Coturnix japonica: one gene and its partners. The protein of the gene in region 1 interacts with the protein of each later gene in a pairwise test. Links are inferred from orthologs where the notes say so. Each region holds a gene or a part of one and is shown in the gene's direction. Other genes may lie near its edges. The genes, in order: DBNL, SH3BP2 and SH2D4A.

Region 1 (4,264 bases):
GGGGGGGTCCCATGGTGTCCCACGGTCCCACTGTCCCCAGGGGTCCCAATAGTGGTTGGGGCTCCTGGGGTGGCTGGAGGACTCGGGGTGCTCAGGGGTCCCATGGCATCCACAGGTCCTGGGGCCGTGCCAGGCTGTCCGGGGGTCCCGGGGCCAAATGGAGGCTGGGGGGCTCCCAGGGGTCCCAGAGTGGCCGGGGGTGCCCAGGGGGTCCCATGTCATCTGGGGGGGGGGGGCTGGGTTGCCCGAGGGTCCCAGTGTCCCCATGGTGTATCCAGGGCTGCCTGGGAGCCCCGTGGTGCCTGTGGGGGGGGGCGTGGGGTCTGAAGCTCCTGGTGTCTGGGGGTCCCGGGGTGTCTGGGGGTCCCGTGGGTGGCTCAAGGTGTTCGGAGTTGCCCCATGTCATCATGGGGGGGGGCAGCAGGGTGCCCCATGGACACACTGTACACGGGGGTCCCACGGCGGCTGGGGGAGCCCGTGTCCCAACGCCCCGCGGTGTCCGTGGGACGCAGGAGGGGACACGGGTGGGGGGTGGGTTGGGGGGGGGGGTGACAATCGCGCCATGCCCGTGTCCCCCCCCCTCAGGGGGGCGAATGAGCAGCGCGCGCCCGCGGCCATGGGGGCGGGGCTTCCGTGGGGGGCGTGGTCTATCGGGGGCGTGGCCAACGGCGGGGGCGTCCCCGGATGGGCGGGGCTCGGGGGCGGGCCTTGTATGGGGCGGGGGCGGGGCGTGGCGGACCGCTGCGCGCTGCCATGGCGGCTGAGACCTCAGCAAGCGAAACGGGCGGGCGCTGCAGGTAAGGCCTACCGGTAGAAGTGGTGGCGGACCGCAGCAACACCGCACCTGATGGGCGGGGGGAAGAGCGGGGGGGGCAGGGGGAGGCGGGGGGCCTGGGGGGTCGACGGGAGGGAAAGTGGAAGGAGGATGTGGGTGGGTGGGGTGTAGGGGGGTGATGGGGGGGTGATGGTGATGTGGGCTTTTGGGGGATGGAGGTGGTACGTGGTGTGGGTGGGTGCCTGTGTTGGTTCGGGCTAGAGCGTGGGGCGGGGCATCAGAAAGATGCGTGGTGGGTTTCTCTAAGTTCGGGTGGAGGCGCAACGGTCCCACGTGGGTCGCCGGCAGGGGGGAGCCCGCTGGTAGGTCGCCGTGGCTGCCGTCGGTGCCGGGGTGAGGATGCCCGAGCTGTTGAGTCGGGGGGGCAGCGGGCGGGGCATGGGGCTGCTGGGTTGTGGTAGTGCCTGGGGGCTTGGGCTGCGGGACGGGGGTTGGCGGGTATGCGGGTGCCGCGCTGGTGGGCTGTGGGGCTGTGGGGTGGGGGGGGTTTAGTGCATGAGGCTCAATGGATGCCCGGGAGCTGGGGCTCGGTATCGGTGGGTGCAGCGCTTTGGGGCTGGGGACGTGACTCTGCCCCCCCCGAACCCACAGGGCTCTGTTCACCTATGAAGGCAACAGCAACGACCTGCGCGTGGCCGGCACCGGGGGTGAGTTGTGCCCCAGCTCTGGGCGCCTTATTACAAATGGGGAAGTGATGCCGGCACGTTCCGCCCACCCCTCCCGCTCTGCCCCATAACCCCTTTCGGTTGCCAATGGAGGCTGAAGGCCCATTCCTGCTGTGAGGGGGTCTGGGTTTGGGGCTGGCCGTTGTGGTGCTGCTGCCTTTTGCTTTGGGGGCGTTTATGAGGAAGGGTTTGGGGGTGGGAGTGTGTTCTGTGGGTTTCCTCATTCCTGAGTGGTTCCCGTGCACGTGCTGCTGGGGATGCCGGGAGTTGTGGGCTCCCTGGGGGCAGCCAGGATGTGGTCGGTGTCCCCTGGCCCAGCCCCGCTCCTGTCCCGGCACAGAGGGCGGCCTGGAGGAGATGGTGGAGGAGCTGAACAGCGGCAAGGTGATGTACGCCTTCTGCAGGGTGAAGGACCCCAACTCTGGCCTGCCCAAATACGTCCTCGTCAACTGGGTGAGCTGGGATGGGGATGTGGGACATCCCAAAGCAAAGGGTTGGGAAAGAGCTGCTGGGGAGGGGCTCGTGGTGCCACTGCTCTTCCATTGCTGTTCCATTGCCTCTTCCATTGCTGTTCCATTGGTACTCTGTTGGTTTTCCATTGCTGTTCTGTTGGTTTGCCATTGATTCTCCATGCAGACGGGTGAGGGTGTCAATGATGTGCGGAAAGGAGCGTGTGCCAACCATGTCAGCACCGTTGCCAGCTTCCTGAAGGTTTGCTCGGCTCTGCTGTCCCCATTCTTTCCCTGTGGAAGCCACCTCGGTGCTACCCCGAGCCTGATGTCCCCGTGCAGGGTGCCCACGTCACCATCAATGCTCGAGCGGAGGAGGATGTGGAGCCCGAGCTCATCATGCAGAAGGTGGCCAAAGCCTCGGGGGCCAACTACAGCTTCCATAAGGAGAGCAGCCGCTTCCAGGATGCCGGGCCACAGGGCCCCGTGGTGAGTCTGGGTTTGGGGCACTGCTGGGGTGACAGCACCGAGTATGGGAGATGGGTCGGTGCTGGTGTTGGTACCGTGGGATGGGGCTGGGGAAGTGAGGTCCCATCCCACCCAACCGTGCTGCGATCCCTCACAACGGCAGCACAAAGCAGCGGGGTCAGCGTGTTTCTGCAGGGAATGCAGGAAGGTCATTTGTGCAGCGCTCTGACCCCCCCTGCCCACCCCACACAGGGCTCCGTCTACCAGAAAACCAACGCCATGTCAGAAATCAAGCGGGTCAACAAGGACCACTTCTGGGCCAAGGCTGAGGTGAGGGCTGCAGTGCAGCAGTGCAGCTGCATGGCAGCGCAGTGGGGCTGAGATGGGGTGAGGGCTGCAGTGCAGCAGTGCAGGCTGCATGGCAGCGCAGTGGGGCTGAGGTGGTGTGTGCACCCAACAGAAGGATGAGGAGAACCGGCGCCTGGAGGAGAAGCGGCGCATGGAGGAGGAGCGGCAGCGGCTGGAACGTGAACGACGCGAGAGGGAACTGCAGGAGGCAGCAGGGAGGGAGCAGAGGTTCCAGGCGCGCTCCAGCCAGATCGAGGCCCAGAAGTGAGTCCTCAGCACCGCCAGCCCCTTGTGACCCCGTCACCCTCTGTCATCTTCTGTCCCCTTTGTCACCCTCCATCTCCCTGCAGGAGGCTGCAGCAGGAGGCAGAGAGGCAGGAGCATCAGCAGTGGGTGAGCCTCGTGCTGTCCCTGGGGTGTTTGGGTGCAGATGCCCCCTTTGCTCATTCCCTGGGTCCACATGGTGGGGCCATCGCTTTCCTCTCTGGTGCCACAGAAGGAGCAGCAGGCAGAGGAGCACGAGGCCGGGCAGCGCCGCAGCGTCCGAAGGAGTGAATCAGTGGAGAAAGCCCAGGTGAGAGCACAGCCCCACAGCCCTACAGCCCCACAGCCCCACAGCCCCACAGCCCCACAGCCCCACAGCCCCACAGCTGGGGGTTCACCCACTGGACTCTCCCCCCACCCTGAGCTCTGCTCTACACGCAGGAGGCAGCGTCACTGATTGCACAGCGCCCAGGGAACCCGCGGGACATCTTTGTGCAGAGGGAGCAGGCGGCACCTGGTGATGCTGCGGCTGCTGCACAGCCAGGTGAGGGTCTCAGGGTGGGGGGAGAATGTGGGCACCCAGTCCCAGGCAGGGGAGGATCTGCAGACCCCCCTGAACTCCCCCTCTTCTCTTGCAGGCAAACTGCGCAGCCCATTCCTGCAGCGGGAGCCGGACTCGGTGCCCACCCCCACCCCCACCGTCCTGGACCCATCACCGGTGCTGGCTGCAGGTGTGTGCTGTGCGCCCACCTGGGACCTGGGCTCCTCCTGGAGACCCCCGACCCACCTGGACGTGGTGCTGGGTGGGGGCACAGAGGCTCAGAGCTGCCCACAGTCCTGCCATGACTCCATGACCCCCCACCCCCCTGGCAGCACGGTGCTGTGGGGCCGCACTCACCGCTAGATGCTGCTGTTGGCCAAGCTCCGGCGCAGCCCTTCCCATTAGCGTTGCTATCTGCGGTATTTTAGGCAATGATTCACACTGGGCACGAGCTCCCCCCTTCCCCCGCACCCCCCCAAACAGGAAACACCACTCAGGGCTCTGTAACCCCACTGCTATGGGGGGAGCACTATGAGTGAGCTGCCGCCATTCCCCCCGCAGGGCACAATGTGAGCCCAATGGGGACCCACACGGATGGGGAGAACGTGTATGAGGACGCAGCTGACAGCGCAGCCATCTATGAGGAACCCCCACAGGTTGGGCTCTGCCTCTGCTTTTCGGGTCCAGCTTTATG
Region 2 (3,648 bases), on another chromosome or scaffold:
CCTGGGGATATTTTGTTTTGACAGCTTTCTCCCAGCAGCAGGATGCAGAGCAGCAGTTAGTGTCCTTCTAGGATTGCTTTGTATGCTCAAAATAAAACAAAATAAAAACCAATCTGCTTGGGAATAGATTCAAAGTGTTGCTTTAAGAGAGCTATTTCAAATGTTTCAATCTGGAATACCAGATTATACACACATACCCTGTGTGTCAGGAACTGCAGCCCCAGCCTACATATGAGAATAGGAAGTGGGAAAAGTTACAGTGGAATCCAGAAAATACCCATAGTTAAACTGAAGGGAAAGCTCTGTGTTTTAGGTGGAATATGTACTTGCCTGCAGGGAGTTCAGCCACACCTCCTTGATTCGCTCAGGTGGATGGGGAAGTTTGAAGGTTTGGTTTCAGAACTGTTTTATTGTAAATCTGCAAAGATAAGGAATGATCCTTGAGAAGAGGAAGCAGAACCTGATACTTTGTTGTCCTTCCTTTTGGTTAAGTCCTGTACTGTCTGCGCTGTAGAACTGGATTCTTTACCCGCTTGTTTCTCTGTTCCCATGCAATGTTTTTGTTGTCTTCCAGCTATTGTGGCTTTCCAGCAGCTATCCATGTAGAGGGCTGCCATGACCTAGGCAAATACTTGTGCTTTCTGTATTTACCCAGGGAGGGATACCCTTGTCCCCAGTGTTTGCCGTTGCCTTCCTAGAATCTCAGCTTGTGGTTGTTTTGGATCACCTCCCTGAGGTACTTAACTCTGCCTCTTCTGAAATGTTTTCAATCTAAGTCAGTCTAACACTGAGATTATTGCTTAATTCCAGTGGGGAAGTGCTGAAGTCCTTTCTTTTGCTCTTTGCTATTTAAAAACAAACCCGTGATGATCTTCAAACCGTTGGCTGGCACTGAGACTAACGCTAGAGTCAGATGAAGGAATCTGAGACCAGGGTATATCTGGCTGAATAAGAAGTTGCAACTTTTGCTTCATCTCTTTTTCTGAATATAATTAGAAACAGACTGAAATCATTTAATCGTAAATTAGTTTCAAATGTTTGAATGTCGATGTACTAGCTCTTAAGTAAAGAAATTTGCCCAAGACTTGCCTTTGTGTTCCTCGTTTCAAGGAAATAATGACTCTTAGTACTGCAGTGTAGCTTGGCGTTAGTAGCCTGCTGGTTGATGCCCTGTTACCCTCTGACTCTTCTGAAAGATGTGGAGAAATTATTTGAAGATTTCATTTTCTGTTTTGGTTTTAGATTTAATACTTTTTACTATTTTAGTAATTCTCAAGTTCTTAAATATTATAGGTCCATTTCTTGGACCTGTGTAAGGTGGTGGCAGTAACAGTGGGAACTGCGTAGGTATTTGGTGGAACATGGCATTAATAACGGATGTATGAGTGAAGACATCCTGCAGCAATCTGAGATGGATTTGATTTGCATTGTCATGTATGATGTTCAGTATAAGATTACACCCTGATGCTAGTAGTTAGAATAAAACATACAAATGTGGGAAGCATGTTATTAATCACTGCATGCGGTTGATCTGACCGTTGGTTCCCTTGCTGTACAGAAAACTACACTCAGTGCCCATGTGTGGTATGAAGCTTTAGAGAAGAAACTGATTTTCTTTCTAGTCTTGGTGTTATCATCTGAGACAGGTTTAAGATATAAATAGCCAAATAACATTTATTAAGCACTCTTCAATTTCTTTGACCGCTGTCAGTCACATTTGAGAACTGTATAAAAATAAATCGGGACTTTCTGCGCTGTGTTTTTTATACCTCACAAACTTCCTGGAACCTATGAGCACGCGTCTGTCCTGCATACTTGGCTGCTGAACCATGTTAGTTGTTTGGAAAACTTGGTTAAGGAAACAAGCTTTGTTTCTCAGTCCTCATTTCCTGAAGTAAAATCTAACTTTGAAGCTGCTCTTAATTAATTATTCTAAATTGCAGGAAGATGGCCTCAGAGGAACAAGTCTGGCCAGTCCCAATGAAGGCAATTGGAGCACAAAACCTTTTGACGATGCCTGGAGGAGTGACCAAATCGGGCTATCTTCATAAAAAGGGAGGCACTCAGCTGCAGATCTTGAAGTGTAAGTTCAGTGGAGTTTAATTTGTATTCTAGTTATTTCCAATGCCTGTTTACAACTAAGCTGTGTTTATACAACTAAGGGCAAAGATTACTGTCTTTGATAAAGGCGAAAGGAGAGTTGGCACTTAGTTTGAAAGAAAGAAGCACTTTATTACCAGCTTTATGCATGTGTATTCTGTCACCTTTAAGAAGAAAGGAGGAGATATGTTCACCCCAAATTGTAATATGTTGATCTAAATAGCTATTTGTAGCCCATGTTTGTATTCCTCTTACCTTGTTTCAGGCTGCACTCTTATGTTAGCTTGTACCTCCAGAGAAAGGTGGAGGTCAGGCTTACAGTCTGGGGTTTCTTTTGAAGAGCTTCATGTGACTGGTCAGCAGCCAGCTGCCACTCCTCTTCTTTGTGCCCTTCTATAAGGATTAATGAAATCCACTTGGCATCCTAACTTGTGTACAGCTATTATTCTAGAATTGAGGAACGTGCTGCCTTTGGATTTGTATCATACTTGCTTTTTTTCTTTATCAGGGCCATTGAGATTTGTTATTATCCATGAGGGATGCATTTACTACTTCAAGACCAGCACATCTGCATCTCCACAGGGTGCGTTTTCTTTGAATGGTTACAACAGGTGAGTGCCAGAACTTAATGCTTTAAGCCCTTGTACTTAATGGTGGTAGGAGCTACCTTTCGTTTTGAGTAGTTAATTCAGCAATGTTTGTTGTTTTGGTCAAGCACTGGTCTCACATTCTGAGAGACAAATTCCTTTCAAATTGTGTGTGTGTTTCCAGTGCTGTGCAAGCGTATACCCTTCGTTGTTTGTAATTGCTCTGCATTGGGTTTGTGTTTGTTCCTTATTTAATGTGGACTTTGCACACACAGAGATGTATTGCTTTGGGCAAAGTAAAGTTCCTGATTCAGTAACACTCGTTGGTGTCAAAATTGAATCAATTACAGGAGTAATAAAATGAGAACATACATGTGCAAAATATCTGACTCTTTACACTAGGCATTATAAATTTTAACGTTTGCTTTTTAAGTTGAAGACAAAAATAAATGGCTTTCAAGTCCATCAGAATCTCTCTGAGTGCGCATGTACTGAGCCTACAGACTGCACTCAGTATTAACCTCAGGAAATTGGTGTTGAATATGATGCTAAGAAAAGACAAGGAAGATGTAGAATGTAGAGAAATGAGCTGTTGTTGGTCCTAACCGCTGCAGTTTATTGTGTTCGTAAATGTGCTTGTTGTTCCTGCACTGCATAATGCTCTCAGACCTTTAGGATAAGGAAATCTCTCTCATTGTGGTGGGAAGGTCTTTTAACTGGCCGCCACAGCAGGGTATCTGCTAGGAATGCTGCTATAACATGGCCATGATACCAGCTTCTGTAATCATGATATTATGAAAAATGCTATGGATTTTGTAATTCGTGGGAACTCTTATTGCTTTTTACTTAACTGCGTATCTGCAACCACCCTGGTTGTAGAACTGGGACCAGCTCATAGTTAATGTTATGCACAGACAGAAGCATTGCTGAATAAAAGCTTCAAGTGAAAGAAATTTTCACT
Region 3 (2,899 bases), on another chromosome or scaffold:
GTTCTCTTTTTGCCATATGTGAAAGTCAGATTCAGTGACAAGTTTATATAACAGAACACCCTAAGCCTAAAATATGTAGTACGTCCTCTTTGATAGGTGTCCACTGAAAACCATACAATTTTGTTCATAGCTGCATTACTGTAAGCCTTCTATTTAGCATTGTTCCTATCACGCTGAACAAAAAGCAATTCTTGCCAGGATCCAAAAGCTGTCATTTGAACTTGATCCACAGATCACTGTCTTTTGTAACAGGAAAGAAGGAATCCAGAGGACAATCTCCAGTTCAGCTGAAGAAAGCATCATCAGGTGGTTCAAAGAAGAGCAATTCCCCCTTCGAGCTGGCTATCAAAAAAACACAGACACAATAGCACCTTGGTTTCATGGTGAGTCCTGAGCACTTTCGCCCCAACTCAACCTTTTAAGGAGTTGTTTCTACTACAACTACAGGGCTGCTACAACAGACTGCTCCCAGGAACTTTTTGAAGGTAGCTAGCAACATTTTCTATTTTTAATATGTACAAGAGTATGAATTTCTCTAATTGTGACAAAGTTCAAGCTAAAGTCTTGGAGTGGAAGCCAGATCTTGACTTCGCATAGCTAGCTGATAAGCCTAATATTCTGGATGTAGAACAGTTAGCACAAAGCACAGTTAGCATGACACCATGGTCTGCTACCAGCAATGGCAGTACCTTTCTTGTAATAGTGGGCCAGAAAACAAGCAGGGAATAGAAGCACTGTGAATTACTTTTAGAATGGTAAAAAAGGGTTTATTGGGAGAATTGCTCCATCTGCTCCTGCACAAATGCTTTTCTCACTTCAGTTCTGTGTTGTGGCTTTGAACAGGTATCCTAACCTCTAGAAAAGCAGAGGAGCTTCTGAGTAAAACAGTGCCGGGGAGTTTTCTGGTCCGTGTCAGTGAGAAAATCAAAGGCTACGTGCTTTCCTATCAGTCTGCAGAGGGATGTAAACACTTCCTTATTGATGCCTCCAGCGATTCCTACAGCTTCCTTGGAGTGGACCAGCTACAACATTCAACACTGGCTGACCTTGTTGACTACCACAAGGTGAAGTTCCAGCAATTAACTCATTAACTACCGTTTATGTATTTGCCTCAAAGCACTTCAAAATAAGAAGCATCAGATTCAGTTGTTATAATGTAGTTAACTAGTCCCATTTTAGCTACTACTGGGTATTATATGTGCCATTCCAGAAGGGTATGTGAGACCAGTGGGGACACCCACATACATCTCAGATGTCTTAGACCTTAACTGCTCCCCCTCAAGCAGGCAGAACACCTTGTATGGGGCTCAATCACATTATTTAGCAGAACTGCTGATAAGGCAATAGATGAAAGCATTCAGACTTTTTATGATTTTCTCAGTGGTTGTGGGGTCCCAGCAAGTTCAATAAATTGAAAATAGTTCACCTCCAGCTTCAGAAAGAAAGAGAACAAGGTATATTTATAATTTCAAAACAGACAAGGTATGATATGGAGCAAGGGTAGCAAATAATGGAAGGGAAGGAAGAAGGCTGTCAAGTCCTTACAACAGTAACGCCAAGTGTTTGCTAGCACCGACTGCAGTTGCATAGGCTCCAAGTAAGAGCCTAGCATAATTTAGACACGATTAACCAAAACTGGTAGGTGAAAAAATATCTACACTCATTTGCTATGTGAAAATCTATCTGGGCTTCTTCAACCTGCTTCTTATGTAGGTTTCACAGTCCAGGTTGAACCTGTTGGAAGCAGGAGCTAGACAACTTACTGGCACCAGAGCTGGAAGATTTAAAGCCTGGCTGTAGATATCTGTATTAAAGATAGAGTCACACCCACAGTCTGCAAAGAATCCTACGGACTCTATTGCACTACAGCAGATGTATGTGGGAGCAGGGCAAACCTACCCAGATAACATGCTCCAGTGGGTTCTATTCGTCACCCACTGGATGACCACAAAAAAAAGGCAAATTCCCACCATGTATCTGCTGCTGAGATTGAGAACAGGATGGGAAACAGAAACAGTTTCCAGGGAATTCTCATTAGAAACAGGCTTGCCAAAGCAGAAGGCACATGTTCACTGCAGGGTCCAGTCCCATCCCTCTCACAAACACAACTCCCACTTGTGGGCACCCCACCTGTGCTAGTGCAAATGCAGCAAGCTTGCAGTCCCACTAACTTGCATGCCACACAATCCTTACTCCAGAAATTCCTAGGCAGGACAGCATTTCACACTGTAGAAGCTGCTTACAAGACAAGCACAGCTATTTCCAAGACCTACCAGAATCATGTCACTGGATTACTATAACAAGCACACTTTCTTGAAGGCAGAAGCCAGCCATGCAGATCTGCATCCTGAATTCCCAGGGCTCTGAGACATATCACACAGTGAGACTAATAGGTCCACACAGTCATGGAGTGGCAATATATTGTGATATTCCAGGTAAACTGACCTGTTTGAAAAGTGTTTAATTGCATTTTCTGTCAACAGGATGAACCCATCACCTCTATGGGAAAGGAGCTGTTGCTTTATCCATGTGGTCAAGAGGACCATGAACCAGATTACATCTCCCTTTTCGAGTGAGCCTCCCAGTCTCATTACGTAGCACCATGCCGTTTTCACCAAGATTGGATTTCAAACTGGAAGCTACTGATGCTTACCTGAAACTTGCCATAAGTGCCTCTATTTCAAATCCTTCACAACAAAGCAGTGGGAGAATAAGTGCTGTCACAGGCTTGTTGTCTCAACAGAGAGAAAGGATGCACCAGCCCCGCAAGCTACAAAACACCCAGATACACCATGCATGTTGTTCTGGATTAGACATTGAAGAATCAGTTGAACAGAGATTTTGCAGATTTCCTCAGGGATACCTGTGTTCAAGCTGGGTTTTGCTCTTGAATGCAAGG

What was found.
Region 2: the proteins of DBNL (region 1) and SH3BP2 interact in binary tests that used the Homo sapiens proteins (3 or more experiments, as listed by UniProt). The link is inferred for Coturnix japonica from reciprocal best matches to the Homo sapiens genes DBNL and SH3BP2.
Region 3: the proteins of DBNL (region 1) and SH2D4A interact in binary tests that used the Homo sapiens proteins (3 or more experiments, as listed by UniProt). The two-hybrid records come from large-scale screens. The link is inferred for Coturnix japonica from reciprocal best matches to the Homo sapiens genes DBNL and SH2D4A.

The regions. Positions count from the first base shown.
Region 1 is NC_029537.1:46,515-50,778, forward strand, and holds the start of DBNL (drebrin-like protein), read left to right. Parts: upstream 1-1,345; 5' UTR 1,346-1,440; coding exon of another isoform or gene 1,441-1,482; intron 1,483-1,840; 5' UTR 1,841-1,857; coding exon 1,858-1,953; intron 1,954-2,136; coding exon 2,137-2,211; intron 2,212-2,291; coding exon 2,292-2,438; intron 2,439-2,669; coding exon 2,670-2,747; intron 2,748-2,877; coding exon 2,878-3,029; intron 3,030-3,115; coding exon 3,116-3,158; intron 3,159-3,261; coding exon 3,262-3,339; intron 3,340-3,470; coding exon 3,471-3,573; intron 3,574-3,667; coding exon 3,668-3,760; intron 3,761-4,131; coding exon 4,132-4,226; intron 4,227-4,264. UniProt on the Homo sapiens protein: Adapter protein that binds F-actin and DNM1, and thereby plays a role in receptor-mediated endocytosis.
Region 2 is NC_029519.1:74,767,038-74,770,685, reverse strand, and holds part of SH3BP2 (SH3 domain-binding protein 2), read left to right. Parts: intron 1-1,943; coding exon 1,944-2,083; intron 2,084-2,608; coding exon 2,609-2,711; intron 2,712-3,648. UniProt on the Homo sapiens protein: Binds differentially to the SH3 domains of certain proteins of signal transduction pathways. Binds to phosphatidylinositols; linking the hemopoietic tyrosine kinase fes to the cytoplasmic membrane in a phosphorylation dependent mechanism.
Region 3 is NC_029519.1:30,069,938-30,072,836, forward strand, and holds part of SH2D4A (SH2 domain-containing protein 4A), read left to right. Parts: intron 1-252; coding exon 253-383; intron 384-843; coding exon 844-1,064; intron 1,065-2,483; coding exon 2,484-2,576; 3' UTR 2,577-2,899. UniProt on the Homo sapiens protein: Inhibits estrogen-induced cell proliferation by competing with PLCG for binding to ESR1, blocking the effect of estrogen on PLCG and repressing estrogen-induced proliferation. May play a role in T-cell development and function.